Struthio camelus: one gene and its partners. The protein of the gene in region 1 interacts with the protein of each later gene in a biochemical or structural test. Links are inferred from orthologs where the notes say so. Each region holds a gene or a part of one and is shown in the gene's direction. Other genes may lie near its edges.

The links.
Region 2: of the proteins of CDK2 (region 1) and POLL, one has a biochemical effect on the other in vitro, tested with the Homo sapiens proteins (2 studies listed by BioGRID). The link is inferred for Struthio camelus from reciprocal best matches to the Homo sapiens genes CDK2 and POLL.
Region 3: of the proteins of CDK2 (region 1) and CDC7, one has a biochemical effect on the other in vitro, tested with the Homo sapiens proteins (2 studies listed by BioGRID). The link is inferred for Struthio camelus from reciprocal best matches to the Homo sapiens genes CDK2 and CDC7.
Region 4: of the proteins of CDK2 (region 1) and MYBL2, one has a biochemical effect on the other in vitro, tested with the Homo sapiens proteins (3 studies listed by BioGRID). The link is inferred for Struthio camelus from reciprocal best matches to the Homo sapiens genes CDK2 and MYBL2.

The regions. Positions count from the first base shown.
Region 1 is NC_090969.1:689,508-696,614, reverse strand, and holds the start of CDK2 (cyclin-dependent kinase 2), read left to right. Parts: upstream 1-3,846; 5' UTR 3,847-3,995; coding exon 3,996-4,111; intron 4,112-4,245; coding exon 4,246-4,323; intron 4,324-4,491; coding exon 4,492-4,612; intron 4,613-4,681; coding exon 4,682-4,852; intron 4,853-4,968; coding exon 4,969-5,070; intron 5,071-5,866; coding exon 5,867-6,070; intron 6,071-6,169; coding exon 6,170-6,274; 3' UTR 6,275-7,107. Other genes in the region: melanocyte protein PMEL, read right to left, coding at 1-459, 535-696, 771-911, 988-1,134, 1,215-1,352, 1,928-1,991. UniProt on the Homo sapiens protein: Serine/threonine-protein kinase involved in the control of the cell cycle; essential for meiosis, but dispensable for mitosis. Phosphorylates CABLES1, CTNNB1, CDK2AP2, ERCC6, NBN, USP37, p53/TP53, NPM1, CDK7, RB1, BRCA2, MYC, NPAT, EZH2.
Region 2 is NC_090948.1:16,303,532-16,311,127, reverse strand, and holds the start of POLL (DNA polymerase lambda), read left to right. Parts: upstream 1-4,333; coding exon 4,334-4,448; exon of another isoform or gene 4,449-4,694; intron 4,695-4,726; coding exon 4,727-5,024; intron 5,025-5,707; coding exon 5,708-5,876; intron 5,877-7,596. Other genes in the region: protein DPCD, read right to left, coding at 890-1,023, 1,789-1,913, 2,607-2,675, 3,626-3,797, 4,246-4,335.
Region 3 is NC_090949.1:19,220,494-19,227,979, reverse strand, and holds the start of CDC7 (cell division cycle 7-related protein kinase), read left to right. Parts: upstream 1-4,368; 5' UTR 4,369-4,458; intron 4,459-4,712; exon of another isoform or gene 4,713-4,907; intron 4,908-7,141; 5' UTR 7,142-7,153; coding exon 7,154-7,247; intron 7,248-7,486. UniProt on the Homo sapiens protein: Kinase involved in initiation of DNA replication. Phosphorylates critical substrates that regulate the G1/S phase transition and initiation of DNA replication, such as MCM proteins and CLASPIN.
Region 4 is NC_090959.1:5,762,831-5,770,288, reverse strand, and holds the start of MYBL2 (myb-related protein B), read left to right. Parts: upstream 1-4,300; 5' UTR 4,301-4,369; coding exon 4,370-4,389; intron 4,390-5,565; coding exon 5,566-5,659; intron 5,660-6,964; coding exon 6,965-7,036; intron 7,037-7,453; coding exon 7,454-7,458. Other genes in the region: uncharacterized protein, read right to left, coding at 533-1,291. UniProt on the Homo sapiens protein: Transcription factor involved in the regulation of cell survival, proliferation, and differentiation. Transactivates the expression of the CLU gene.

The DNA.
Region 1 (7,107 bases):
GAGCGAGAGCGGAGGGGTCGCGGGGTGCCCGTGGGGCGCCCGGGGACCGGGGACGCCCCTTCGCCCGCTTACCGGTGCTGGGCGCCGCGGCGGTGCTGGGCGCGGGGCCGGCGCTGGTGGCGGTGGGCCGCGCCGAGGGCGGCGGCGGCCCCGTGGTGGGGTCCACGAGGGGCGGCGCGGAGCTGCCGCAGGGGCTCAGCGGGATGGCGGCCTGCAGCACCAGGCGCGGGGCGAAGGAGCCGGCCTCCAGGTAGGTGTGGGTGACGGTGGCGCTGCGGGAGATGAGGGTGCCGCTCCCGTCCCCGAAGTCCCAGGAGTAGGAGACGTCGGCGTCGCGCAGGTAGCCGCTGGGGTCGTGCAGCCGCACGGCGAAGGCCACGGCGCGGTTGCGCACGAAGCGCCCGGCGCCGCCGGCCGCCCCCTGCACCTGCGCCACGTCCACGGCCAAGGGCACCTGGTCTGCGCGGGGGACACGGCGCCGTCAGCGCGCCCGCCGCCCCCCCGGTGCCCCCCGCCCGCCGCCCCGGCTCCTACCCGTGACGCTGAAGCGGGTGCTGGCGCGGCCGAGGGGGATGAACTTCTGGCGGCCGCGGTAGTGGTAGACCACCACGTCCATGGTGTAGGAGCCGAGGGGCACGCCGGCCGTGCCCACCGTCAGCCGCGACGCCGGGCCGTCCACCACCTGCCAGTACCGCCCTGCGGGGGAGCGGCGTCAGCCCCGGCACCGGGGGCTCCGGGGGGCCCGGCGGCACCGGCGCCGGCGGTCTCACCCCACGTCCACCACACGTAGACGAATCTCCCGCGCTCGCCCCGGGCGCTGCGGGGAAAGGGCTGCCCGTCGGGGAAGACGCCGTCCGAGCCCTCGGGCAGCTGCTCCGGGAAGACGGGTTGGCCGCGGGCCACGCGGGTGCCTGCGGGGAGGCGCGGGGTGAGCGCGGCGGCGGCGGCGGGGGGCGCAGCGGGGCGCCCGCACCGGCCGGCGCTCACCGTTGACGGTGCCGTCGCGGCTCCAGACGACGCGGCCGTCGGGCAGCGCCGCCTGGCCGCCGGGGAAGCGGAGGGCGATGGAGAAGGTGGCCTTGGCGCCCGCCATGGTGGGCGCGTCGCTGCTGATGTCGAAGGTGACGTTGCCGCCTGCGGAGGGGCGCGAGGCCGGGGCTCAGCGACGGGCGCCGCCGGCCCCGACCCCCCCCCGCCCCGGCCCCGGCCCCCACCTCGCCAGCAGTCCCTCTGCCAGGGGGCCCCATCCTGCCAGGGCGGGTAGAGCCCCGCGTCCCAGCTGCGGAAAGGCGCCGGCGCCTGGCTCCACGTCTGGCTCCGCCGGCTGCTGCCGGGGCTCCGGCCGCCGGCTCCTGGGGGACAGAGGGGTGACGGGGCTCCCCGGCGGCCCCGGGCGCGCGGCCCTCGCGCCGGCCAGACGCCGCGTGATGGGCTGGGGCCAGGCCGCGCGCGGCGCCGGGGGGCCGAGCCCGTCACATGGCGCCGCGCGCTGCCCAAGCCCTTTCATGTGACTCTCAGCTGAGCCGGCGGCGGCTCCGGGCCCGGCGGGGTGGTGAGCCCCCCCCTCGCCGCGGGTGCCCCCGCTGTCCCCCGGCTCGCAGGGGCGCCCCGGCCATGCCGCCCGTCGCGGGCAGCGCGGGGTCCCCGCGACGCGCCCCGGCCCCGCTCGCACCCCCCCGCGGTGCCCAGCCCGGGCATCAGCAGGGGCTAATCCTGCTCCCCTCCCTTGGGCAGGGGGCCGGGGCCCACCAGCAGCCCTGTTAACTCCCCGCCGCCCCCCTGGCCACCCTGGGGAGCCCGGCAGGCCCCATCGCCGCCCGGGACCGTCCTGGCCACGGCCGCCCGGTGTGGGACTCTGGGTGCCACCGGGACCCCGCACCCATGGGCGAGCGGCCGCCCCGCTCGCGGCTCCCCCGGCCCCACTTACGGCGCTGAGCTGCGGCCAGGGCCAGCAGGGCCCCCAGCAGCGCGATCGCCCCCTGCACCCGCATGCTCCGGCCGTCGTCGCCTCCCGCGCTCGGGCACTGCCAGGGCAGAGAGGCGAAGGCGCCGGCGCCGGGGGGATAAGAAGGGGCTCTCGTTTGCATAGTCCCACCCCGCGGGGCCCGGCCCCCCCGCAGCGCCCAGCTGCCCTTGTGCGCGTGGGGCGCGCGTGCGGCCCCCCCGCCCCCGGCCGGCCGGTCACACGCTCCTTCCACGCACCGCAGCCCCCTCGGGGGGTCTGCTGCCGGGTCTGGTCCCGGCTGCTCCCCTCCGCGGGCCCTTTGCACCCGCGCAGGTGTCCGGCCGGGGCAGGGCGCCCGCTCGGCTCGCCGGGAACCGGGCTGGAGCCCGGCACCCCGGGGCCTCGGCTGCGGTCACGCAGCGCCGCGCGGCCGGCCGGGGCGGCCACCTGGCCCGCTCTCCGCTCCCTGCAGGCCGCTGCCCCGCGTGGGCGCGCCGGACTCCTCCCGCGGTTTCCAGCCCCTTCCCCTGCGCCCAAATCGCTGGCGACGCCACCGCTGCCCCCGAGAGCGGGGCTCCGCGCTCAGAGCCCGCCGCGGCCGCCCTGGCGCCCAGCTCGAGCCGGGCCCTCCTCCTCGGTGACACCGCTGCCGGCTCCGTCCCCTGCCAGGTGGCTGGCCGGGCCGGAGGGGAGGTGGCAGCATCGCCCCGGCCGCGGCCGGGGACCCTGCGCTGGGCGCACCTGGGGACGGGGACCCCAGCCCCGGCCATGGGTGACCTTCGCCAGCACCCAGCACGACCCCGTCCCCAGGCCACGGGGGAACCGCGGTTAGAGGAGCACGGCCCTGGCCCCGGGCTGTGGGGGTCCCCGGGCTGTGGGGGTCCCTGGGCTGATCCCGCCCTGACTGCGTCCCCGGGCCGTGGGGGACCCCGGGCTGTGGGGGTCCCTGGGCTGATCCCGCCCTGACTGCATCCCCGGGCTGTGGGGGACCCCGGGCTGATCCCGCCCTGACTGCATCCCCGGGCTGTGGGGGACCCCGGGCTGTGGGGGTCCCTGGGCTGTGGGGGTCCCTTGGCTGATCCCACCCCAACTGCGTCCCCGGCCCGTGGGGGTCCCCGGGCTGTGGGGGTCCCTCGCCAGATCCCACCCCAACTGCGTCCCCGGGCTGTGGGGGTCCCCGGCCAGAGCCCAGCATGTCCCTGTCCCAGGAGGACACCCCCCCCCAGGACAAGCCGGGTCGGCTCGGGAAGCAGCTGGTCCGGGGGGGCTCGGCCCGGCCTCCCCCCCCCCCCGGAAAGGTCCCCGCGTCAGCGGCCTCGGGGCGGGCCTGTCCCTTTAAGGGATCTCCCGCGTCGCCCGGCGCGTCGGCGGCAGCCCCGGCCAATGGGGCGGCGCGGGGGGCGGGGCCGGCGGAAGGCGGGAAGCGGCGGGCGGGCGGCGGCCGCGGCAACATTGTAGCGCGCGGGGGGAAGCGGCGGCCGCGAACGTTCCATCCGCCCCGCGCGCCGGCCCCGGCCCCGGGACCCCCCGCCCCCCCCGACCGGCCCCCCGGCCCCCGGGACCCCCTGCACCCCCCCCGCCCTCCCCCCGGCCCCGGGACTCCCCGACCGGCCCCCCGGCACCGGCCCCCCCGGCACCGGCCCCCGGGACCCCCTGCACGCCCCGGACGGCCCCCCCCCCGGCACCGGCCTCGGTGACCCCCTGCACCCCCCCTGCCCCCCTCGGGACCGGGACACCCTGCCCCCCCGGCACTGGCCCCCGGGACCCCCTGTACCCTCCCTCTGCTCCCCCCCGGGATTGGCCCCCCCACCTCCCCCCGGGACCGGCCCCCCCCCGCATCCCCTGGGACTGGCCCCCAGGACCCTCTGCACCCCCCTCCGGAACCTCCCCGGGACCCCCTGCACCCCCCCACCCGGGACCGGCCCCCAGGACACCCTGCACCCTCTCGGCACCAGCCCCCGGGACCCCTGCATCCCCCCCGGGAGTGAGCGCCAGGACCCCCTGCACCAGCCTCCCGCCGGTGCCGGGCCCGGCCCCCACCCGCCGCCCCATGGAGAACTTCCAGAAGGTGGAAAAGATCGGCGAGGGCACCTACGGCGTCGTCTACAAGGCCCGGAACAAGGTCACGGGCGAGGTGGTGGCGCTCAAGAAGATCCGCCTGGACACGTGAGGCAGCCCCGCGCGGCGGGCCGGGGCGCGGGAGGGGCCGCGGCGCCCCCGGGCAGCCCGGCCCGGCGGCTCGAGGGGCCCGAGGCGGCGGCCCAGCCCGCTGAGCCCGGCCCCGGTGGCTTCACCCGCAGGGAGACCGAGGGCGTCCCCAGCACGGCCATCCGCGAGATCTCCCTGCTCAAGGAGCTCAACCACCCCAACATCGTCAAGTAAGCGGGGCGGCGGGGGGCCCGGGCGCCTGGCGGAGCCGCCCCGGCCGCGCTCGCAGCCGGCCCTCGCCTCTTCGGCCGGCCGGTTCGGGGGCCGGCCGCGGGAGCGGAGCGCCCCGCTGCCTGGCCGCGGCGCCGGGCCCAGGCCTGCACCCCGCTCGCTTCCAGGCTGCTCGACGTGATCCACACGGAGAACAAGCTCTACCTGGTCTTCGAGTTCCTGCACCAGGACCTGAAGAAGTTCATGGACTCGTCCTCCATCAGCGGCATCGCCCTGCCCCTGATCAAGGTAGGGCCGCGGCGGGCGGCGGGCTGGCTCCCGGCGGCCCCGCGCCCACCGCCCGCCCTCCGCCCGCAGAGCTACCTGTTCCAGCTGCTGCAGGGCCTGGCCTTCTGCCACTCCCACCGCGTCCTGCACCGCGACCTCAAGCCCCAGAACCTGCTCATCAACGCCGAGGGAGCCATCAAGCTGGCCGACTTCGGCCTGGCCCGCGCCTTCGGGGTGCCCGTGCGGACGTACACGCACGAGGTGAGCGCCCCGAGCACGTGCCCGGCCTGCCGGCTTCCCCGCACGGCGGCGGGAGCGACGGCTTGGGCCGGCCCGGCAGGGCGGAGGAGCCAGCGCCCGTTCGCCCCTTTCGGCAGGTGGTGACCCTCTGGTACCGGGCCCCCGAAATCCTGCTGGGCTGCAAGTACTACTCGACGGCCGTGGACATCTGGAGCCTGGGCTGCATCTTTGCCGAGATGGTGAGCGGCCCCCCGGGGCGCCCCTGCGCGGGGAGAGGCGCCGAGCGCGGCCCGGCCTGGCTCCCAACGCTCCGCAGCGGCGCCGGTCCCTGTCCCCTCGCGTCCAAAGGCGCCCGGCGCCCTGGGGACGAGGCACGGGTGCGCCCGGCGCCCTGGGGACGAGGCACGGCCTCGCCGGGCCGGTTCTGCGCGGCCGCACGCCCGGGGCCGGCAGCCCTTGGCGTCACCGCGGCGCGGGGAGCCGGCTGACGGACACCGGCGAAGAAAAGGGGCTTTGTGGGCTCCCGGGCCCCGGAGGAAGGGGCCGCGCTGGCCGGGGCGAGCGGGGCCGTCATGTGAGCCCCGCCGCCCGGGCTGGGCATCACGCGGCCGGGCAGGGACACGTCCCCGGGGCCGGCACCCTGCCCGGGGCCAGGGCCTGCGTCACGAGGGGCCGGCGCGGGAGCTCACGCGGCGCCGCGTCATGAGGGGCTGTTTGATCTCTGGCCGAGGGTTTGCCCCTGTCGGGCAGCCTGGCCCTGTCTGGCACCCACCAACGCGTGCTGGTGGGGGGAGCTTTGGTTGGAAAGGGCAAGGCGTCCCGGGGCGGAGACCTGCCAGTGCGGCGCCCGCCGGCTCTCGCCCCGTCACTGGGCGCTTTGGGGAAGCCAGGCGGCTCCGTAACGCCCGCGGGCCCGGCCAGCCCCTGCCTCGCGTTGGGGTCAACCCGGCCCGGCCCGGCGCGGGTGCTGGGGCGACGGCACCGGCCGCAGCCCCAGTGGAGCCCGGCTCTCCACGGCTCTGCCCTCTCGCCCAGATCACCAGGCGAGCCCTGTTCCCCGGAGACTCGGAGATCGACCAGCTCTTCCGCATCTTCCGGACGCTGGGCACCCCGGACGAGGCCATGTGGCCGGGCGTCACCTCCATGCCCGACTACAAGCCCAGCTTCCCCAAGTGGGCCCGGCAGGACTTCAGCAAAGTGGTGCCGCCGCTGGACGAGGAGGGGCGGAAGCTGCTGGCAGTGAGTGAGGGACGCGGCGGGTTGGGGGGGGGGGGGGAGCAGGGTCCCGCGGCTCCCGCGTCCCCGGCCGCCCCCTCACCGCCCCCTTCTTCTCCCCAGCAAATGCTGCACTACGACCCCAACAAGCGGATCTCGGCCAAGTCGGCGCTGGGTCACCCCTTCTTCCGCGACGTCACCCGGGCTGTCCCCCACCTGCGCTTGTGACGCAGCCTGGCCCCAGGGCTGCCGCCCCTCCTGCTTGCACTTAGCCCTCCGGGCTCTGCCGGCGCCGAGCCGGAGCCCTCGGGACAGGACCGGGCAGCCTCCCGCTGCCCAGGCAGCGCCCGGAGAGCGGGGGCCGCCTTCCCTGCCCGCGCGCACGCCCCCCCGGCCCCCCGCCGCGGAGGCGAGATGCTGGGAAGCACCTCCGGCCCCGGGGGCAGCGCCGCCGAGGCCCCAGCCCGGGGCTCAGGGACCCTCTTTCCCCTCCGCAACCGCCCTCCGGCCCCGAGCGGGGTCCGAGCCCCCGGGGAGCGGAGCAGGTCCCCGCGTGGGGCCACCGGCGTGCAGCTCTGCCGCTTGCAGGCGGGCGCGATCCTGCCCGGGCCGGGCCTGCTCCGCTCTGGCCCCACGGAGGCCCCCGTCTCCCCTCCCCTGGACTTCAGGCACTTACAGCCCTTCCCCGGGAGACGTTTCGGGCTGCGGAGCTGCGACCTTGGGGACCCCGTCCCGGCTCGGGGCTGCGCATCGCGCCAGGCTCTCGCAGAGGCGAGGCGGGTTCAACCCAACTCCCTCCCCGATGTATTTATTTCCCTGGAAGCAGCCGGATCTGTCCAGGGCTGCTCGCACCCAGCCCTGGGGACGATGGGGACCGTGCGGGCAGCCCGGGCCAGGGCAGCTCCTGCCACTGCCCTGCTCCCAGCCCCGGCCTGGCGGGGAGGGCTGCGACCAGGTCCCGGGCAGGGAAACCAGCCCCAGCTCCCTCGGCGCGAGGGGAGAGGCCTTTGCCCGCGTTCGCCTTCGTCCCCCGGGCGCAGGGGGTCGAGGGAGGCAGCGTC
Region 2 (7,596 bases), on another chromosome or scaffold:
CATGACTGATCTTTCTCTATTCTACAGTGACACTGGGAAAAGAAGACAAGCAGAGGGCACCTTGCCCACCTTTCCATATTGGCATAGTACCCTGGTTGGTAAATGGCATTCATTTATCTTCCAGTATCCTCCCTTGTTCTCCTAATGTGCCCTCCTTGCTTATCCCTTCCCCTTGCAGCTCATGCCTGCTCATTTACCTGAGGCTGCAAAAGCTCTGGGGCACACTATGTCCCTTGTTCCATGGGTAAAAGGCCAGGCAATGACACTGTGTAAGATGATGTTTAATAGCCACTTTTTGCTCCCATCTCAAATTCCTTCTGTAGAATATAGTGACACTTTCTTTCAAGATTCTGACTTTTCTTCTTCTTGCCACCTCCAGATTGTATCATTTGCCTTATAACTACAGGATAGGTTTACTGAGGGAGGTCTCCCTGGATGCCCACATGACTTATGCTATACCAGTTGAATCCTGCAGCTCCACACATTCTGAAATGTGACTAGATCAAAGTGTCATCCAAATGCTCCGTCATCTAGAGCTGGCGACTCTAGCTTCAAGAGGTCGGGGAGGGGGTCCTATTTTATTTATTACAGGAGTGCTGCTGGACAGGGAAAGGACAGAGCAAACATCTTGTTACTGGAATTGTGTGATAATTTTGTGAAGGGCAGCGCAGAGCTGAGGGGCTTTACCAGAGACATGTCTGGGGTACCTGGGAGTGGAAATCAGACAGGAGGAGGCACTCAGCTGTGTATACTGGCTGTGGTTGCTCAGTCCTTGCATGGCAGAGCCTAAAGCCAAGAGATGATACCTCCCCTGTGCCATCACTAGCCTGTCCTCTATGCCAGCCCACCCCGAGGGACTCTCAGCACTGGCAGTGCTGTCCTTACTGACTTCTTATTGGTGGTCCGGATGACACAGCAGCGCTGCTCCTTCTCCACGGAGACACTGTAAACTTCCTTGGGGTAGGGCAGGTTACGGATCCGCCACTGGAAGCTGGTCAGGGTATCCTTCCTCATGAAGACAGGCTGCAGCAAACAAGTACCTTTAGCAAGTCCCCTCCAGTTGTGTCTTCTCTTTTCCCTAGCCCTTCTTCCTGTACTATCTTGAGAGGTTTCACATGAGGCAGCCCTTCCTTCACACTCGAGCAGAGCAGGGAATAACTCAAACTGCCTGAGCATCAGTCTCCTAAAGCTGGCACTGCTATGGCACAGCCTTTACCCAGGGCACTCACTGCCTGCCCTGCCTGTAGGAGGCTGGGAATGTTCAACGAGGGGCTCTTGAACGACAGTGTTATGTGGAAACCGGGCCTCTTCCCCTACCCTAGGGACCTGCTGCACTTGGTCCTGGCTGTGTCCCAGTTTGCTGTGCAGGGCTGTGCTTGTGTTTCAGATTAGAGACTAACAGCCTTGCAAGCTGTTGGGATGAGAAGCTGATACAGGCAGTGCTATGCACTGCAGGTGTCATGTTCTCATGGTCACTGCCTCTGCTTTCCATCCACTGACTTGTCCAGGCACTGGCCTTCCTTTGAGGCTATTTTTTGGAAGCCAAAACAGGAGCTAGCCAACACAGCAACGTAGACAGTTTCTCTACTTAAGGAAACTCCAAAGCTCTTGAAGACTGCAAACAAACTAAACTGTGCCCTTTCTGCTCAGCCCCACACCTATGGGATGAGCACTAGGCCAGCTAAGGCTGCCTCTTGGGGCTATGAGTGATCTGCAGTCTACGAACTACTACTGTAAGCACGAGGCTAGGTTTCTAGGCGGAGCGGTGCCTGCAGACCCTTTACATACATTGGAGCTGCTTTCCTTTATGAGCTCTGATTCCAGTGTTCCCACGAGAGGTGAGGTTGGCTCTCCCACCTCAACCTGCCACTTGCCGGAGCCCCCTAAAGCATTCTTCTCTCGCCATTTTCTACCTGTGGAAAGGAGAAGGAGGGTTTTCATTATTCTGTTCCATAAAAAGTACTCCAGAAAATAGCCAACAAAATTGCCCAGCCCATTGAGATGATATGCCTTTTCCCTTAATTCCAGTCATTTCCACTTAGGTGTAAGTCGATCAGTTAGCTGGCCAGCTCCTAAAGTCAGAAAATCAGCACTGAGTCTCTCTCTTTTGTTAGTCGGTGCTGAACCCACAGAGGGCTTGCAGCAGGTGCCACACTGCAGTTGATGTGGTTTTGGGTAAGACCCAAACTGACATCTTGCCTGCTTGCGGTTGCAGAAGTTGTCAAAAAGCATACTTCACCCCAGCGCGTGCTACAGACCGAGAGGGCAATCCCTTTCGGTCCCTTCAAGCCTGTTGTGACAGAGTGGATGTTTAGGAGAGATCCTGGGTTAAAATAAGGTCTGCTATGCCCTGGAAGGGAGAGACCTCTGGGTCCAAGCTGGACCTTATTTACATCCCTACAAATTTCAGGGGCGCTAAAGGCAGAATTGTCTTCTGGGCCATTTGGGAGCAACTTTTTTCTAACCAGGAGGTCCCTCGGGAGATTACCCCAGGCTGGCGAGCGCAGACCTGCTGCCGCACGCACGCACTGGTGCCACTCGCCTCGCTCTGCTACGCCTGGGGCAGCTGGGGGCCAGCCGAGCGCGTCACTTACTCACTAACTGACCCGTCTGCACGTCGTACTCTTCAGCCATCTCTTTGCCATCCTCAAACAGGTAGTGGACCTTCTTCTTCCCTAGAGGCAAAGTGGGCGGTGAGGGTGGGAGGCAGACGGAGCCCCTTCTCGGAGGCCCTGTCCCTGGGTTTACGACCCTGTCCCCAGATGTATGACCCTGCCCCCCCCTCCAGTCTGGGGCCCTGTCCCCTGTTCAGGGGCCCTGTGCCCCCCTGCCCCAGTCTGGGGCCCTGTCCCCTGTTCAGGGGCCCTGTCCCACCCTGTCCCCTGTTCAGGGGCCCTGTCCTGCCCCCCACCCCCAGTCTGGGGCCCTGTCCCCTTTCAGGGGCCCTGTCCCACCCTGTCCCCTGTTCAGGGGCCCTGTCCCACCCCCCCTCCCAGTCTGGGGCCCTGTCCCGCCCCCCACCCCCAGTCTGGGGCCCTGTCCCCTTTCAGGGGCCCTGTCCCGCCCCCACCCCAGTCTGGGGCCCTGTCCCCTGTTCAGGGGCCCTGTCCCACCCTGTCCCCTGTTCAGGGGCCCTGTCCTGCCCCCCACCCCCAGTCTGGGGCCCTGTCCCCTGTTCAGGGGCCCTGTCCCCTGTTCAGGGGCCCTGTCCCACCCCCACCCCAGTCTGGAGCCCTGTCCCCTTTCAGGGGCCCTGTCCCACCCCCACCCCCAGTCTGGGGCCCTGTCCCCTTTCAGGGGCCCTGTCCCCCCCCCCCACCCCAGTCTGGGGCCCTGTCCCCTGTTCAGGGGCCCTGTCCCCCCCCACCCCAGTCTGGGGCCCTGTCCCCTGTTCAGGGGCCCTGTCCCCCCCCACCCCAGTCTGGGGCCCTGTCCCCTGTTCAGGGGCCATGTCGTCGTCCCCCCCCCACCCCCACCCCAGTCTGGGGCCCTGTCCCCCGCTCAAGGACCCTCTCCCCGGTTGCATGGCCGCGGGCTCGCAGGGCCCCAAGCCGCTGCCCGCCAGCGCCCCCCTCCCGCCCAGCCCCGCTGCGCTCCCGGAGGGCCGCCCCGGGCCGCCGGTTACCGTCCTGCACCAGCGCGGTCTTGCGGGCGGCCCGCAGCCTCTCCAGCCAGCTCGGCACCGCCATGGCGGCCGCCCGCCGTCGCCATGGCAGCGCGCGCGCTTCCGCCCGCTGCCGGAAGCGCCGCCATCGCGGGCCGGGCCGGGCCCGCCGGTGAGAGGGGTGGCGGGGGGCCTGGAGTGACGGGGGGAACCTGTCGGGCTGGCCCGGGCGGCCTTTGCGACTTTCTGCCTCCAGCTGGAGGCGGGCTGGGGGTTTCTTGCCGCTGCTGCGGCCTGAGGCCCCGGTGATGGCGGCGGCGGCTGCCCGCGCCCGGTGGCGAGGGGTGTTTCCCTCCCTAAAACACCCGTGGGAAATGAAGCTTTTGGCCGGGCAGGAAGGAGCTCCTCGTCGTTAACAGAGCGTTGCCTCTGTGCTGCGAGCACCTGCTGCTCGTGGTTTCCAGGGCCCTCGAGCAGGCTCGTCTTAAGTGGCTCCTTAGCGGTTTCTGCCGGGGGTCCTGCGCCCTCCCTTCCAGGTGTTTCCCCCGGGGCGCGCGCGCCTTGGCGAGGCAGCACGGAGAAGGCCCCGCGCCGGCCGGGCCTGCGAGCCGAATGAGCGGAGCCTGGCTTGGGGTGCTTGCCTGATACTGTGCCGAGCAACCTTCCTCTTCCTTAGCGGTGTTCGGCGTTCGCAGCGTTACCCTCCCGCGGGGAAGCGACGCGCAGCCCATGGAGCCGCGGGGGATCGTCAAGGCCTTTCCCAAGAGGAAGAAGGTGAGGGATGACTCGGGGAAAAGCATCCCTCCAAAGATCACCAAAGAGGAAGGAGCAGGGGTACCTGAGGGTAAGTGCAGTCTGCCCGTCATGCGTATACAGTGCTCATCTCCCAGCTTGTTAACTGGAGATGTGTTTCTCCCAGAGGCTTTTTCTGGCCCAGGTGCTTTTCCTGTAGAGGCCGCGACTGGCAAGGTTTGGTGTGTCCAGCCACAGGCCTGCAGCTGGTGGCCCCCAAAGATTGCCTGCCGCGGTTGATCCCAAGGAGTCCCGCATGAGAGAGGTAGCCTGACTGGTTTGGGACACTCTTTCTCTCACACTGACCTCCTGCCCTGTGTTTTTCCTCAGCAGAGTGGCTGAAACCAGTCACTGCCTATGTGTTGCGAGCTGGCATTGGCCAAGCCAGGGCAGAGATCTTCCACAAGCAAATTGTCCAGAATGGGGGTCGGGTCCACGCCCACCTCTCCTCGGAGGTGACGCACGTCATAGTGGCTGAAGACATGGACTGTGATCGTGCCTTTCGGCTCCTTAAGTTACCCAAGCTACCTTCAGGGTTGCAGCTAGTGAAGGCATCCTGGCTAAGTGCTTGCATTAGAGACCAGAAGCTGCTGAGTACCACTGGCTACAGTGTCTTTATCCCTTGCAGGTATGCAAATCCTAGGCTGTCGTTCTCCCCCACAGTGCCTCTATTCCAAGCTGAGCTGCACTGGTATTTCACCTCTGCTCAAGATCTTAGACTGAAACTCATTGCAGGTCCCTTGGGCATGGCTCAAAGTCATTTCCCCCTGTATAGTTCATGAAATTTAGTCGCTTTGTGACTAGTTACTGGTCTGTGGGATAGCAGAACTTGGAATAGAGCCCGGAAATGCTACCAGGAGTACTGTTGCTTGCTACAGGTGCTCAAGGCAGCTCTTCCTAATCCATCAGTGATAGCAAGGAGGTTTTTTTTTTAGAAATGTTGAGAATTAAATGCTGTTTTTGCTTATTGCAGATGAAAAATAGAGAGAGAACTGACTACTAGGCACGCAAGGAAACACAAACGGAGCAGCAGGCAGCTGCAGGTTAGGATCAAAATGTATTGGCAGAGCTTTGGAGGAAGAGTCTAAGACTAAGGTAGATAGGAGTGAAAGGTGCAGGTCAACGAAGAGAATGGAGACTGGGAGACTGAGCCAAGACCGAAGTAATGAATCTGTGATCTGAGAGAGCAAAATTCTTGTTGGTTGTTTGCTCCGTCCCTAAAAATTGCAGAAGGATTTCCTAGTCAAACATCTGGGGGCTGAGAAGTCTTCCTGCTCTTATGCTCTACTCTTATGCTACCTCTTATGGCAGGTACCTGGAGGAGGGAGAACTGCAAAAACAGCAGCAGCAGAAGCTCCTGGCTAGCAAAGAGATCCAGCCCCAGTCAGGGGACGGAGCTGTGAAACCAAAGGCTGAAGCACGCTTGGGAGATTCCTTGCCGCAAACCCTGGGCATCCTTGGACAGCAGCAGCCAGCTGAGGTGAGGCTTCCAGCACAGGTCATTCTTGTGAATGGGTCCTGCATACTGCTTTTCTTGGCTAAGAGCATCCCTGCAGGGCTATGATGCCAGAAAACATCAGGAAAGCGAAGGCGTTTGGCTATTTCAGTGGATTGGTGCTGGCAGATTTGGGCTGTGGACGTAGTTACTGCTTCTCTTTGTTCCTTTTAGGTGTTAAAAGTGGAAAAAACACCCCTTAAATTCCTGTCTCCATCAAAACATTTCCAGCAGAAGCAGTCCTGGTGCTTTGATCAGGCCAAGGCTCACTCTGGTGATCATGTTTCCTCTGCCTCCTTTTGGGGAATATTCCCTGGCCGAGAATATCTCCCTTTCAGGAAACTCTGATGTTTCATTCTGTGTTCCTGCTTGAGCCATACTGACCCATTCTCCACTTCTTGGCAAGCACCCCATTCAGACACATGTGCAATAGATCAGGTTGCCACTCAAATGATTGTGTGTTGTGCTTAAAATATCCATGCTGGGTTATTAATGGCCTCTGCTGTGAGTCGCCTTCTCCAGACCCGACCTTAGCTATCTTTTCTTTTTCTGCATTTTGCTCGTTTGCTGTTTTTTTTTTTTTTTTGGCGTTGGCATCGTCCAGATCTATCTGTAGCAAAGTTACTCCAGACCTCTGGGAGCCACAGCCATCTCATAGTGCTCTGATGCCAAGTTTGCCTGCACACTCCAAAATCACAGTTGCCAATTCTGTTTCATAAAACCCTGCAGCTCCTGCCTAGCTGGCAGCCCACTGAGGGCTCCTTTGTTTTGGGCTTTCCCCTTCTCTTGAATGTGTATGTGGGGAGCGCCTTCTCAGACTTACTATCCAGTGTGTTATAGACAGAATTGGCTGCTGCTTTCTAATCTCTTCATCAGCTTTGCTGTTAGCCCATCTTTATTGTTTCTTGTAACTCTGGTTAATTTAATGGCAGTCTTTATTAACGAATCTCACCCTTAACTGAAGGAAAGGGCTTTTGTACTCTTATGGATCCCGTGGCAGCTGCCTTGCTTTCTGCTCACGTTTACTTTAGTGATCAGACAGCAGTTAGAGTCTGTTTGAAACCGTATTGCTTTTTTTTCTTTTAAATTGCTTCAAACGATGATATTTTCTGTGGTTAATCTGTGCCCAGAACCATCTGCAGACTGGAGAAAAATCTCTTGGCTCAAGCTTTGGACTAGGTTAGTTTGGGGAGGAGAGGAGAATCCATTGGACATACTTTAAAGACAGTGCCAAGTACTTTTAAGACCTAGCTCTAACAGAAAAGCTGAAGCTGAACTCTTAGGTTGGAAATAGCCTCCATTTAAGCACAGCGTCCTTTCTAGCTTGGGCGAATGTTCTTCTCTAGGGCATGGTGAGTGTTCCAGTATTTTATACCGGACAAGGGCTGCTCCGGGAGGTCCTGTGTTTGGATGTGAGCTCTCTGTGAGGGAACTCTGTTATTGGTTGGTAGTTTCCTGCAGAGCAGCATTCGCAAGTTGTGCCAATTATTCGCAGACTGAATTGTGGGGCTGTTGCTCCAAGCTGCTTGCCTCCTTCTCAGGCAGTGTATTGCCTCAACTACTGGCCGTCAGCTGCTATCCTGGGTCCTGTGCTCTGCTGCAGACAAAACCATGCACATCTCATTCTCACCCAGCTCTAGCACACGATGGCAGTCAGCTGCTACAGGATTCTGAAGTAGCTTAGAAGCTCGCAGGATTAATCAGA
Region 3 (7,486 bases), on another chromosome or scaffold:
TTGAATTTGACAGTATTCCTGAAGGGCACAATAGCGTGAAGGGATCTGTCTCAACCTGGTGCTAAAGAGAGAAAAATTTGCCATAGAATCATATTTCCAAATGAGAAGAGGAATTAAAAGTTTGGAGGTTTACTTTTAGCATGTGCTATAAAGGCTAACGAAGATTGAATAATACACCTAATAGTTAATCCTACCATTCACATAGAATTCTATATACATACGTGTGTGTGTGTGTGTGTGTGTACACACACACAAGAACACGTATTTACACATATATACATATATGCATATACATTAACATACATATATACCTATATATTCATATCTACTGCTAGGACAATAACTACCTGTAGTTTCTCATTTCTAAGTAGTTTCTAATTTCTAATTCTCAGTTGCTAACTTATGAGCAGGTGTTCTTGGCAGCAGGGAGAGGTTAGACTTTCCTACCTCTCTCTGTGCTGGATTCTTTCATCAATTATCTTCCTGGCTGTGTCCTTTCTTTTTTATAAGGTTAGAGCATAATACATACACAGGGAGAATTGTGCTAGCTTAATTGACCTAGGAAGAGGTTAACAGACGTTTTCCAGAGTCAGCACTGATTCTTTTACATTTTTCAGTAGATATATATAAAAAAAAAAAATTCGATTCACCTGCAGATTCTGGCAGAGTGGATGCAATCACACAGCAACGTTTTGATCATTTCTTCTCAGACCTCCCAGAGGTTGGTTTTGGCAACTGCTTGTCTGCCTTAAGCAAAGTTCTTCGTGGGCCTGCCTTGTCATTTGGCTTCTCATCCTACAGATCCAACAAAAGAGATAAAGTCACAAGAGAAGACAGTGCAGCAGTTTGGCTTGCAGAGCATTAGACATGCCATTCTGTTTATCATATTTAGTTGATGTAATTTCTTCTTTCCCCTCTGATAAGCTCCTAACTTAGGTACATTGTAAGAATTGGAAGCTCAGTGCTGAATGAGAGCTTTCTCTGCCTCATCTGCAGAGAAGTAAAGGGATTTCTGCTTATTCAAGCTAAATGAAAAGAGGGCATTTCTCTTTTTTTTAGCAAAGGAAGAGAAGCTTTGCCTTTACCAATTCTACATTCTAAATAAAATAAAAACAAGCTAGAGAAGATGTAGTAGAAACAGAATACCTAATCTATCACTCCTGTGAAGATGTATATGAAGAAAGACATTGATGAAGAGGTGATTTTCGACAAGCTACTCATATGAGGAGAGTCATGGCTAACTTGACTGAACTTCCTCCTTAGACAGACAAGAAGCAAGAAGAGAAACACAAATGAAGGCCAGTGTCAAGACTGGCATTTCTGGAAGACTAAAAAAAGAGTAGGACAACAAAAAAAGACAATATTAGATTATATTACAAGTGCAGCTACACTAGTGAGAACAAATAAACGTAAATTTGACATGATGGAGAACAGAAATCACTGGAAAGACTGAATGAGGGATTGCGATAAATTTGGATCAATAGGAAAAAGAGGAAACAGAGAGGAACAAGTCATCAGTGTAGACAAATGACCGAGTCTAAATGATAAGGATTTTAGGTGTTAGAATAAAGAGAGTCTGAGATATTATAAGGAAAGAAATGACATCTGGACCAAGCTTAGATTAGAAGATAAAGTGAAAGGGATTTCTCACTCTGAATGAATACAGCCTGAGTGACAGGGAAAAAGGTAGCATTGACATCATTAACAAAGAAATGCTAATAACGGAAGCTCTATAAGAAGTGCAAGGATAAAAAAGGTGGTTCTACATTATCAGAACTCAAAGGCACAAAGGGAGGCCAGCGAGGTAGGCTGTAATTCTGAACTGGCCAGGAGGCAGCAGAGCTATACGTGCAACTCAAAAATAATCTCCAGATATCTCCAGATAATATCCAGATTTTTGAATAATTAATGCACTGCTTGTATGCAGTGTACAGTATGCAGAAATGATTGCTGGCAGGCTGTCCTAATAGGTAAATTTAGAATGACAGTGCCTGTCATTAGCACTAGGACAAGCCTGCTCTCATTTATGCTTATGCTATCCTTCTACCTGCTATAGGATTACATGGAGAAAAGAAAGAACAGAATTTGGCCTGCATTATTCTGTTATTATCCCTCACTTAATTCATGTTTGCTGTAATCTGCTCTTAAATACTCTCGCCCTTAAATAAAATTGTTGAGAGTTTACTTTACTTAGCTAAATCTCTAGCTGCTGCACTGGCTTATTAGAGCTCTTAACAGAATGTGCAAATTAGAATTGCTAAAAAAAACCCAAAGAACACCGCAGAAGCTGAGCAACATGTTTCAACACCTTCTTTCTAAACTGCACGATAGGATACTACACAGCGAGTAAAGAAGGTGGAATCTGTTTCCGATTTTACAGTTTCTGTTAATTTCATCTTATTATGAGACAATAGCCAAGTTAGAGTGTTGCCTTATGAACCTTGACCACTTTAGGCTTTCCTGTTATTTACAAAGGGGTGAAGTTACAGATCTCTACGTGAAGCACCCAGTAAACACAATATTACGTTTCATATTCTAGTGAGCAAGAGTCCTAGTGTATTCAAATGCAGGACAGCTAGTCTTTACCATTAAAGAGCAATTCTTTTTAATGTCAGAACAAAAAGAAATGGTGAAAAAAATGTTTTGATAAAAGACAAAAAGTGAAGTGCCAATTATTTTTTTAAACATGCAACTGCACTAGCTTCAATAAAATTCCACCACTTCAAAAAACAGCAAAATACAATTCAAATAAGATAGCCTCTTTACCTGGCACTGGTTATTGTTACTTGACAGTTTGGGGCCCAGATGTTCAGTAACGGATGAGGAATGGACAGTGAAACGTAGAAGAAATTGTTTTAAAACACCTCTGCGCTCTTAGGAGCGCACTGCTTAGGTGCAGGGGATGTAGTGCAGTGGTTCATTGAATACATCACTATCCTGCTTTAAGCTTTCCCCTGTGCAATGGGGCAAAGTTCTGTAATGCTCATGTTAAGTTTCAGTGCTTCAATAGTCCTGAAGAACTACTCATGAGTTTCTTAATTACTTCAGTATTATCATACATACACCCAGGGAGCTGAGGCCTTCTCAGTTTGTAACCTATGACCACTAAAGCTGCAGAGTTTTCTTGCAGAGGGCCTAGGAACTATAGCTTAGAAAAACAGGCCTATTGTGAGTAGGCCTAAATCTGCTCTACAAATACAGCTCCACGAGATAGTTTTCAGAGTGGCACAAGTCAAAAGAATTTGAAACCCACTAATCTCTGTCCTTTTCATAGGAGGTAAGGCATAAACGAATCTTTTTCTTTACTGTTGCACGTTTTTCTTATGCACTATCATCCCATGCTTGTTTGTGCCATGGCCAGTGGCTATAGCGCACTCCAGACTCTAGATGCTATATATTTTTAACTTTGCATTCTGTGCAACTCTTTTGCTATACAACTAATTAATAAAGCAAAACAGCAGGCCAAGTTATATTCTCCATTATTACTGGTGTAAATGAAGAGTTGTTTCACAGAGTCTCAAGTATTTATCTGGATTTATAGCAGAGCTAATGACAACAACACCTTATCTGGGCACCGTAATTATGTCATAATAATCACCTATAGGAAATAAATGTATAAAGGCTAAATATTGTTGTGCAGAGCATGAATACCCTGAGCAGTTCCAGACATGTGGAATCAGCAGATGCACAAAACAGCTCTGAGTTACCCGTTGTGCATTAAACGCACCCTCATATGTTTTCCTCTGTCTAGGCAGTTATCACAGAGCTTTTTGCCTCGCAGTTCACAGAAGTGCAAGAACCCTCCAGCGCGCTTTCCCAGCAGCATTTTCTCAAGCAGCACTTGAACTGTATCTGCGTGCTTGGCCCTTCAGCGGGCACGAGGAATTAGTACGTTGTTTAAACAAAGATCCCTCGTTCTCCACCACGTGCTTCTGAGCACATGTACCAAAAAGCCTGAGCGACAAACCTGAAGCCGCGGGCCAGGGCCGAGCGCCCCGCTTCCCGGCGCTCAGCCCGCCCGTCGCCGCCGGCCCCAGCAGGCCCTGGGGCCAGTAACCACTCCTGCGCTCACGCTTACTTCCTTGCTGCCGACCCCGCTGCCCCTTTCGGGCTGCCAGGGGAGGGCAGGGGCAGCCCGCTCGCAGGCCGCTGTCCCGGGTAACGCCCACCACCGCCGCCGCCTCAGCTCGGCTCCCGCAGCGCGAGGCCCGAGGCGCCGCGCGGGCTCGCCACAGCCGCCACAGCCGCCACGAGCCCGCGCGCACCGGCCGGCCGGCCGCCCCCTTGGGCGGGACGCTCCCCGCCGGCTGGCCAATAGCCTCCCGCTTTCCCTCGGCCGGCGGTCCCATTGGCCGAGGCCACGGTTTCCGCCGAGGGCCGGGATTGGTCGCGGAGGGGCATTCGGCAAAAGGCGGCAGCAGGCAAAAGCCCGTTTCGTCGCGGGAGCCCGCGCGGCGCGTGAGTCTGAGCCTGCCCCTCCCCCACCCCAGCACCGCCGGCGGGGCCCCTTCCCCGCCACCCCCCTCCCCCCCCACCCCATCCCGCGCTGCCGGCCGTTGGGCGCTGACTGAGGCGCCGGTACCGCTGCCCTGAGGGGCGAATCGGTCCGGTGCGGCCCGGGCCGGCGGGCTTCCCGGGGCGCCCCTCGCCCGGCCCCGCGCTGCGGGGCTCCAGCGTGCCCTGCGGGGAGCCCGGCGGCGGGGGGCGGGTGCCTTGGCGGGCTGGGCCCTGCCCGAGCGGCCGCTCCGCTCTTGTCCGGCGGGCTCCGCCGCCCGAGCGCCCAGGGCCCTCTCCGCACGGGCCTCCTGACGCGTTAAGAGCCTCCTTCAGGGCGCACCTCGCTGCGTCCGTGGGTCACTGCAGGAGCCGTTCACACATCGCGTACCTTCAACTTTGCCATTTAATTGGTAACTTCTGCTCACTTTTTAATATTTATGCTCTCAGACTGCTGCTTAAATGCAGCTGAAAGCGTGCATTTGACCAGGAGCCTTGCTACCAGGAGCAGTCTTGTAAAGCTAACCTGCTGTGACACATCCCAGATGTTTTTCTTTTGTCTAGCAGTAGTCGCATAAGGTAGCTCAAACTGAAAGCGTGGAAGTGTGATTTCTAAGTGCTTGTGCTGTAATGAAATGATTTATTGTAAATTTGTGGAAAATGCAAACTTACTGCATGACTTGATCCAGCCACAAAATTTGCCTTTCTTAAATAACAAAATAGATACACTAATACCATCCTTTGGTTTTGGCACCCCCTGCTTTTTCCTGCAGTACCAGTGGGTATGCTCCTGTTTGAAGAGCTTTGTGTTTTAGTGATAACAGATTGTGTTACAGGTAGTGACATCTGCTTTAGCCAGAGATTTGGCAGTAGTATCACTAATTTTTGTGTGTGAGGTTCTAATATCTGACTCAAAAGACTCTAAAACTCTGCAGGTTGTTTGAACCTGTCACTACCTGGTTGTTTCTCTTTTTTTATATTGGGAAAAACAGGTTTTTGTTTGTTTGTTTTTTGGAGATCTGTGATTTAACTGTAAAATAATTCTTTGAACTGAAACTTTGGATCATTCCTCTTCACTTTTCGTCTGTAACAGTGATTTTTTTGAGCATTTATTAATGTAAAAACTAAACATCTGACTGAATCAAACTTGGCTAAATGTTCTGTTAAGCCCTCTTCCAAATCAGCACGCTGTTGGGTTTTTTCTTAACATACTCAAATATTCTAGGTATTCTGTAAATAGTTATGCAAATATTAGCTTTTATGTTTAGCAAAAATGAATGTAAATGACACCTTGAGATACTGAGTCCCTTTTACCCTGCTCATGGGCAGGAAGTCCTGGAACATGTGTTCCCAGGGTGTTTTGCAGGCAGACAGGAGCTTTCATCTTCTGTATCCCAAACCAGCTGGGTGTAGCTAGCCTTGAACTGGAAGAGACTGTAGCTGAGGCTGGGATGGCACTGAATCAGAGCAAGTAAGCTGCAGTGAGAGGCGGAGTGCACTAATTTGCACTCCTTCCTCTGATGAGGAGGCCCTGCCATTTCAGGTGTGGAACAGGCTCATCCGCTTACTTGACGCTAGTGGAGGGAGCGTTTAACTGTGAAAGGCTGTAGACGGATCTCACTCCATCAGTTTCCAAGTCCTATTCTCCTTATCTATCCTTTACCGCTTCTCCAACGAAGCTTCAAAAAAAGGCTGCTGCTTGTCACTGTTCTGCTGCATGGGGATAACAAAGGAAAGGTAGCCAAAATTCTTTGGGGACAAAAGTATATTTCTAGCTTCATACCTGAAAACAGGTGAATCCTTTCTGCTGACAGTTTCCAAAATATGTTTCCTCCTTGTAGGAAAGTTCAGCCAGAAGTTTGGCAAAGTTACAAGCAAGAAAGATCTTTAAATATGTGCTAGGTGACTGTAATAGATGCAGATTCCAGGCTCATTTATCACTGTGGTTATTCTTCCCTAGTGCTCTATCTCTTTCCTCCTTTTTTTCATGATATAGAATTAGCGGCTTCTGAATTATACACTGTAAGTACACTACAGCTTGCTTATTCTTACAGCTTGCTTAATTTCCAAGATTGAGCAAGAGGCATATCAAAACAGCATGTGTGCATTTCTTGTTATGGTGAAAAGGAAACTAAGAATTATACTTCTTGTTGATCTCTAGAAGAAAGAGAAATCTCCCATCATATTGCAAAGATAATCATTTTCCTCTCTTATAATTTGTCTCAGGAGTGGGTTTTTTTTTTTTTTCCCGTTACTCTGTATGAGTGTTGCACTACGCAGATATTTGTGTGGATCAATTCCTTGCTTTCCAAAGCAAACTTTAAGGAAAGGATAATGCTTTAATGTGAATGAGTAAACACTAAAGATGAAAGAGAATCACTTGTCTAAGCTCATACTGCAGTCTTCCTTCCCTTCCCCCTTTCTTCCTCTTTCTTGGAGATAGAGTGGGTTTATTGGTTTAATTTTTCTCTTTTTCTGGGATGATGGGTAAGGCTTTGTTGTTTTAATTAGCACAGAGGAACTCCTCAAACTCCCTGAATCTCATTTCAGGAACTGTGTGAAGGAGAAGGAAGTCTATTACCAGATATGTTTGCTCCCCCAGGTGTCCAGATGTGGTCCTCAAAGTCTTGGATTTTTTTTACTTCAGGTTAGTTTTGTGATGGAGACAGTGTTGAAGTCTCATTGTGATGAACAGCACCCCCAAGAGGCTGAAGAATTGCAGAGGAAGCAGGAGCAGAACAAGCAGCTTTCAGGTATGTGCTAAAACAGGGACCACTAATATTACTTTTTGTTGCTGGCATGCTTTCTCACTTCAAGGACTGTCAGGAGCAATATACTGTTTGTATATGGTCCTATTGTATAAAGAATTTGTGAAATGAAAACTCTTGAGGTTGCTTTTGTTCTTAAGCTTTTTAAGCTTTAAGCAGTAGTTGTCACAATTTGCTGGCCCCATTATTTATTTATTACAGAATATGTTACAAGAAGATACTTG
Region 4 (7,458 bases), on another chromosome or scaffold:
TGACCCCCCACCGTCTTTTGTTTTTTTCCCCCCGGCGATGAGCGTCAAGAGCCCGCGCACACAATGAAGTTGAAATCTTTATTGCGTTAATACAAAGGACACCGAGAAGGGAGGGGAAGAGAACTGGTCTGGGAACCCAGGAGCGCTGCAAGTCGCTGAGCAGCGCTCATGAGCTGGCATTAGCTTAGGCAGCTTTCCGAGGAGTACAGCAAACGAACCGTCCATGCTTGCTCCACCCAGTAGTGCCCCGAGCAGTTTCCCAGTTAAGTCATCTCTAAGTGGAAGATTAAAAGTTACACCTACAGCTGCAGCAACAGGTAGTCTCATCAGCAAGCAAGCCCCTGGCTCAGGTCAGGGTAGGGGGCCGCTCAGCTTTGAGATCTTCTGTGCTGCAGCATGCATCCGCGACATTGTGCAGCTTGTGATCGGCGTCACAGAAGTTACCCCAAGCCGTCCAGTGAAGCACACAGCAGCTGAACACATGCAAGTTTAAGAGAGGAGTTCACTTAGATTTGGAGCTAGGGCAGCAGCATCACAGGGCTTGATGCTGAAACACAGATACAGGCTCAGGGTCACTCAGCTGAGTCTCACAGGTGGAAGACATATGGATCAGAGTAGGGCACCTCTTGAAGGCACCAGGCCAAGCCAGAGGAATTACTACAGAGGAGGTCTCCAGTAATGGGGTATCCGGTTTTGAACATCCCAGCAACCTTAGCTCTTCAGCACTTATGTCAAGGGACAGATTGGTATCCAGGGGGGCTTTTATTTCAGAAATCTCCCATCTGGGTGCTGGTGGCTTCTCAAGGGTTGAGATGTCTGTTACAAGCTCAGTGCTCCTGGATAGCAGATTCTCCAGTGGTTTGGCGTGCTTTTCTGTCTTGCATGGTGTTGATGTGTTGTGCGAGACCACATCCATCATGGAGTGGCACCCCAGGCCTCTATTGGGGTGCTCAGAAGGCAAACCAGACAGATCAAAGACAGTTTGACCACGGGGGGTCTTGCAGAAAGAGACAAGACTGCTATCAGAAACTGCCTGGGTCAGGCTGTGCAGGTCAGTCTTCACACAGCTGTTCAGAGACTCTGACTGCTTGACAACATACAGAGAGCTGCCTTTGGCTGTGTTGTCCAAGTCTAGGAGAAGCTCCCAGGTATTGGATTTTGAGGCACCGCTACAGTCCATATAACTGTGGACAGGAGAAGAATGGCTGTGGGTGGAGGCCCCTGTCACAAAGCCAGTTTCCAGGATTTCCTTTAGGGTCAGGATACTGGTATTGCTCCTCTTGGTGGACATGATGCAGTATCCCAGCAGTGTCAGGCTTATGAAGTTGAAGATGTCCCTGGTAGAACAAGTGTGCTAAAAAATAAATTTTAAAAATCCCGTTTCTCAGTTAGGAAAGTGAGGAGACAGGCAAGATCCAAGGAAAGTTTAGGCGTCCAAATTGTAGTTCGCTTCTAGTGTAACAGAGCTCCCTGTTTATTGGCAGTCAGGCCATGGCCTATTTACTGCTCAGAGGAGATCATTACTGTCTAAGTGACCTAAGAAGTGCTCCCCCAAACACTGCAGCATCCTTGCCAAGTTGAGGCAGAAGGGAGCATACCCACAATTGTACCTATTGTACCTTTTGGCCAGAGAGTCAGAGAAATCCTTGGATGTACTATTAGGCAGGGCTGTTTCCCATCTAGGGGAGGCCTGAAGGAACAGTCCTCCATTTGGTTAGATCAGCTCTCACAGCTGAGCTTCAGACACTGAATAGCATCACTTAATGTCTTCAGCCTGGATACCATTACTCTTAGTTTTGTCCTCTTGGGTGTAAGGAGTCTCAGTAAACCTCTCCACCTCCTAGTGGTACTAAGCTGGAGCAGGATGGGCCTTTTCCTGGAGATACCAGATATTCTGTTCTCATTCCTCAAACCAGGACAGCATTAATCTCAATTAGAGCTGAGTTGCTTCCCTTTCAGAGGGAGACCCTAATACTGGGTCCAGTATTACTGGTTAGGAGAAGTGAGAGTTTGACAGGAAGGAGTAGCTCCCATGTTGTATTTAGTCCTGTACATGGTACAGCCCCTGTCCACAGATCTGTGGGACCCCGTAGTCTAGACACGGGCCACCTGGGGAACTCTTAGTAGACAGGTCCTCTTGGCTGCTCTCGTCTTGCTCTGAAACCGCACGACAGTATGTTTTGCTCAGTCACTAAGAGTTTCCTTCACGTTCCCCCTCCCCTTGTGAGGGAAGTTCTCACCACTTGGCCAGTCAGCAACTGCTTGTTGACCAGACAGAGGAGGAATACATGAGAGCGAGATGGGGAAGGCAGCCAGTATCATTAAAAAAGCCACTTTATTTACTATAAAGGCAGAACTGTATAACTATGGGTCATTGTGAAGGAGAATTGTTCTTTAAGATACTGAAATACTTCATCCTTAAAGACATTTTAAATACATTAATACTTGAAAAATACTAAGAAAATAAAAAGCATAGAAAAAAAAACACCTGACTACTTACCTTCACCTTCTACAGAGACCCCTTTCAAGATCCTGATCCTTTTTTGATCATGTTGCTGGTAGTATTTTTATAGTTTTGCTAATTAATTAACATGCTAATTTCCTAATTAAGCTAGTTTGGGAGAGGGAGGAGTTTTAGGTCAATGGTAGTGATTGGGGGATGTGATAAACCACGCGGAAAGTAAATCCTAAGGCCTGCAAAGACTTGCTTGCGTTTTTTAACTTTGAAGCACGTCAGCAAGCAGCCTTCAAGAGCAAACAGCGTGTTTGCAGCTAAGTTTGAGCAGGACTGAGACCCGTGTCTCCTGACTGCAGGAGAAGGACGCGTATAGCGTTCCCGCCTTGCGAGCCCTAGACGGAAAGCTGCTATGTTTAGTCTGAAATACTGACCAGGGAACGTTTGTGTGCACAGACCAAACGCTAGGAGTTAGAATGAAAACAGGGGCACGAGCAGGTATGTGTAGATACCTATGCGCAGCGTGCACTGCAAAAACAGCAGCAGCAGTCCAAAATACGGTGGTGCCAATTCCTGGTGTGTTCAAGAACAGCTATAACTCGGGTAACTTCTTGTGCTTCTTTTTCAGGCCTGCTTTTTTTTGTGTGCGTGGTATAACAGTGCCGCCCCCTGGCAAGAAGGGATAAGGAAAGGTAGAGTGAAGGTTTTCCAGGAGAGCCCCAGCTGCTGGGAGCGTGCCGACCCGTGCCCTCCGCTTGGGATCCTGCGCTGCCCCCCTGGAGCAGTGGCGCTGGAAAAGCAGCATGGGGAAGGTGTTTAATTCTGATTGGTTTTTTTCTGCCCTCTCGATGGGAGGTAGGTGCCGGGAAGGCGAAGGGAGCAGCGCCGGGCGGCAGGCTGCGGGGATGCTCGGTGGTCTGCGGCTAAGAGGCTGGACGCGGCCGCATCGCGGCCAGCGCAGATCCCCTCCTAGGGCCGCCTTGTCGGACTGCCTGTTAAGCGAAGCTGTGCCCTGAGGGGTTCAGGCCTCTCTTTTACACCCCAAAAGGCAAACCTGTGCCTGTATCTGTGTCCGAAAAGTGCTAGGTTTTGCAAGGATAGCCACGGCCCTCGGTGGGACCCCCCCTGCCCCATGCGGGTGACCTGCGAGCGGCCCCTCGGCGAGGAGGGACGCGGGCAGCGGCGGCGGGTTAGAGCAGGGGCGCGAGGAGGCCCCTGCTGCGCCGAGGGGTCCTGGGGTGGCCACGCGGGGGCTGGTGGCAGAGAGGGCAGGAGAAGATTTGTCTTTAGACTTGTCCCGGCGCGGTTTTCTTTTTCAACTCCAGGTTACGGAGAGCGGTTCCCCGCAGGCGGACGGTTAAGCGGCCTCGGGGGCGTTTCAGCGTTGAGCTCGTCGGCAGGGCGGGCTGCGAGGGGGCTCCCCGTGCCGGGGTCCCTGGCCGTCCTCGGGGCCCGCCAGTCGAGGGAGCGGACTGTCACGTTTTTGTCACGAGTTGTCGCGCTGAGGGCTGCCGGCCCGCAGCGGGGAAGGGTGTCTGGGGGTCCTGCTCGAGGCCCCGGGCTCTGAGGGGGGCTCTGCGCCGGGTGGGAGCGGGGCCGGGCTGTGAGGGGACCCGCGGGCCGGGGCTGGGGCGGGCTGTGAGAGAGCCGCGGGCCGGGCCGTGAGGGGACCCGCGGGTTGGGCCGGGCCGGGCTGCGCCGTCCCGCGCGCGCCTCTTTGTGCGGGCGGGCGGCGCCGGGGCGCAGCGCGCAGGCGCGGCCCGGCCCCGCGGCGGGGGGGGCCGCAGTTGGCGCGAGATAGGAAAGTGCCTGCTGCTGCCGCCGCGCTGCCGCCCGCCCGCCTGGCCCGGCTCGGCCCGGCCCGGCCCGGCTCCCGCCCGACCTGCGGCTCCGCGCCGCCAGCCCGCGGCCGCCATGGCGCGCCGCAGCCGCGGGTGAGTGGGGCCGCCGCCTGCGCGCGGGGCTCCGTGCCCGCGCCTTCCCGCCGGGCGGGCGGGCGGGCGGGCGGAGAGGGGCAGGCGGGCGGGCGGGCGGGCGGTCAGCGCTGGGGGGAGGCGAGGCGCAGGCCGGCGGCGGCCCTGCCTGCAGCGGGTGCCAGCCCGGGATTCCCCCCCCCCCCCCCCACTACCCCCGCGGCGCCTGGGGCCCAGCCTGCCCCATAGCAGGCGGCAGGACCCACTGCCGGGCCCTCGGGCTCTGCCTCGGCCTGTTCCTGCCCGGCGCCCCGCTCAGCCCCGCTGCACGGGCGCTGCGTTTCGGAGCAGGGCAGCGGCCCGGCCCCCCGCTCCTCAGCTGCCCTCTGGGGCAGGGCTGGCTGCTCCCGCTTGCCCTCGCTGGTGTGGCGGGCTCCGTGCCACAGGCCTCTCCGCTGGCGAGGCCGTGGTCTGTGCCCTGTTCCTGCCCCTGAGCAGGGAAAAAGTGGTAAAGGAGACCTAAGCGCGTGCTTGGGGCTGCTGATGTGCAGCAGTCGGTGCCCCCAGGATCACTCTCCCAGGGCCAGCGCAGCTCCGTGGTGTGGGCTGCCCAGTCCGCTGCAGAAAGCTGCCCAGCATCTCCCTGTTATCGTTGGCCTTTGTGGGTGCAGTGCTGGTGGGATGTGCTTGCAGGAGTCCCTGCCTGGGTGGTGTGAGATGACCTCTCCCTCGAAATCTTGCCCCAAAACACTTAGCTTCTCTTCTGAGAGCTGCTCTGGGGCCTTCCAGACCATTTTGTTCTTGTTGAATTGTTTTGGGACTGGCTTCTCCTCCTTTTTTCATCTCTTTTGTTTACACCGGCAATCAAGGAAGGAGACTGATGATCTGCAGAGATGGAAAGTGGTGCCAGCCCTTAGACACAAAGCCCTCCCAGAGGGGAAAAGCTAGCAAAAATCAAGAGAAATGTTCCTTTCCTTGCTCTCTTGGCAGCATAGGAATTGCTAGCACACACCAAGATTTCAAAGCTGAGGACCCCTTTTAAACCTTCTGTATCCGAGTTAATGTCTGTGAGGTGTTGAGATTCAGCATGGGGAAGACCGTAGATCTGGAGCTCTGCTCTCTGCTCTGGAGGTTGCTCTTTCTGCTGTCTCTTTATGGGAGGAAGAAACAATAACCTTTTTTTGTTTCTTTCTTCAGTGAGGACCAAGATGATTTGCATTGTCAGGATACTGACTCGGATGTGTCAGAACAGCGGGACAGCAGGTGCAAAGTCAAATGGACACAGGAGGAGGTGAGTGAGAGCCTGGCACTTCCTGAGAGCAGGTGTTTCTGGGGAGGGTTGCAGATACTGTGGTTGTTTGGGGGACTTCTGGCATGGATAAGCTGTAAGAGAACAGCTGGACACATGGAAGGAAGTCGATGGCGTTTGGTGAGGATGTTCATTTATCATATCCATTAGCAGCTGGGAAAGGAGGCTGTCCCTGGCCTCTGGCATGGCACCTGAGGGGTGGGTGCCTCCATCCAAGTCCTCACTGACTGGCCACAACATCGCCTCATGTCTTGTCTCGTTACTGGAAAGGCCTTGGGCCTGTTTTGCTGACCTGAGCTGAGATCTTAGTGAGGATGGAGTTTCAGGTGAGTCTAAAGTGCAGCAGGAGGGTTGGAGCTCAGACCACTTCAGCTTAGGCATCCGAGTCCTGAGTGAGGCGTCTAGTGCCTGAGACTCTCCAGTGAGCGAAGAGCGGTTCCAGAGGATGGCTGAGGCGTTGCTGGGCTGAATCACACTGTGGTGCTGTAGAGATGCCCTCCCTTTTCTGTAGCGAGAGCAGAGAACGCTGAGAGTGTTGGGATCATGGTTTAGTCATCCTGGCCGAGAGCCTGAAATTAGTTGGGATGTTCTCTGCCTCCTAGTTCCTCCATAATCTCTATTCTGTGTGAGAACTACAAAATATCCTGTTGCTCCTGGAGTTTGAACGCTGAGTAAGAATGGTCTTTGTGCAGAGATCGAAGCCTCTTGGGCTCATGTTGGGCAGGGAATTATTTCTTACCTCTTTGCTCAGCCGGAGCACATGGGCAAGCTGGGCTGTAGCAGACTTTGCCTGATCTGTAGGAGTAGGGGAAAGGTGTGGTTTTTGACAGAAGTGCTCTAAGGGCTCATCAGTGCTGAAAGGCAGGAGGCTACTAGGTTGGCAGCGATGCACTTGGACAGCAAAAGCAGTGGTTGAGTTGAAGAGAGACCGTCTGCTCAGGGATGTGCTGGGACTGGATAAGGAGATAGCCCTGGCTGCACGGTACCGTTTGCGCTATACTAGAACAGAACGGAGAGAGGCCTGAATGTGACCACAGCAGCAGAGCTTTTGTATTATATCTCACTGTACAAGCTGGTCCTTGTACAAAGCCTTGGACCAAACAGTCCATGCGCTAGAGTGCTGCTAAAGGACAGCATGAGCTGCCTTCCTCCCCAGGATGCAGAATAATGAAAAACTTCTTGACAGACCAAAAGATCATGCTCCTTTTTTGATGCCATTGGACCTGGGCATGCCTGTGGCATCTATGCCTCAGTGTATGTGAAAGTAGATGTCGTTATTCTTTGCAGGATGAGCAGCTGAAGATGCTAGTGAGACATTATGGGCAGAATGACTGGAAGTTCCTGGCCAGTCACTTTCCTGTAAGTGAACCCTTGCCCAGTTGGGAATCTTGGTGTATGCCTTTTGCTTCTTGTGCTCGGTGCACTAGTGATCTGTGTTTGTGCAGCAGTTTGCACAGTGGGACTTTGTTCTGTGGCTGCAGCTCCAGGCTGCTATTATGAAAACAGTGTTCCTTCAGGGCAGGAATACATCCTTCTTTCATAGAGGATGTTTGAGGGTGAGTCTGTTGGAGCTGGGATGAGAAATCGGGACTCCTGTCTCTATCCTCCGTGTCCAGTGCCCTAGCCTATAGTATGTATTCTCCATGTGCTTCTGCAGGTTTTCCATGGGACAGCCTGTCCCCCTACTGTCGAGATGTGCATGTGGGGACTGCTGTTGCCGTAGAGGCTTTTGAAGCCTCCACTCTAACACAAGGGTATTCTGATTCCTCCTCCCAGAATCA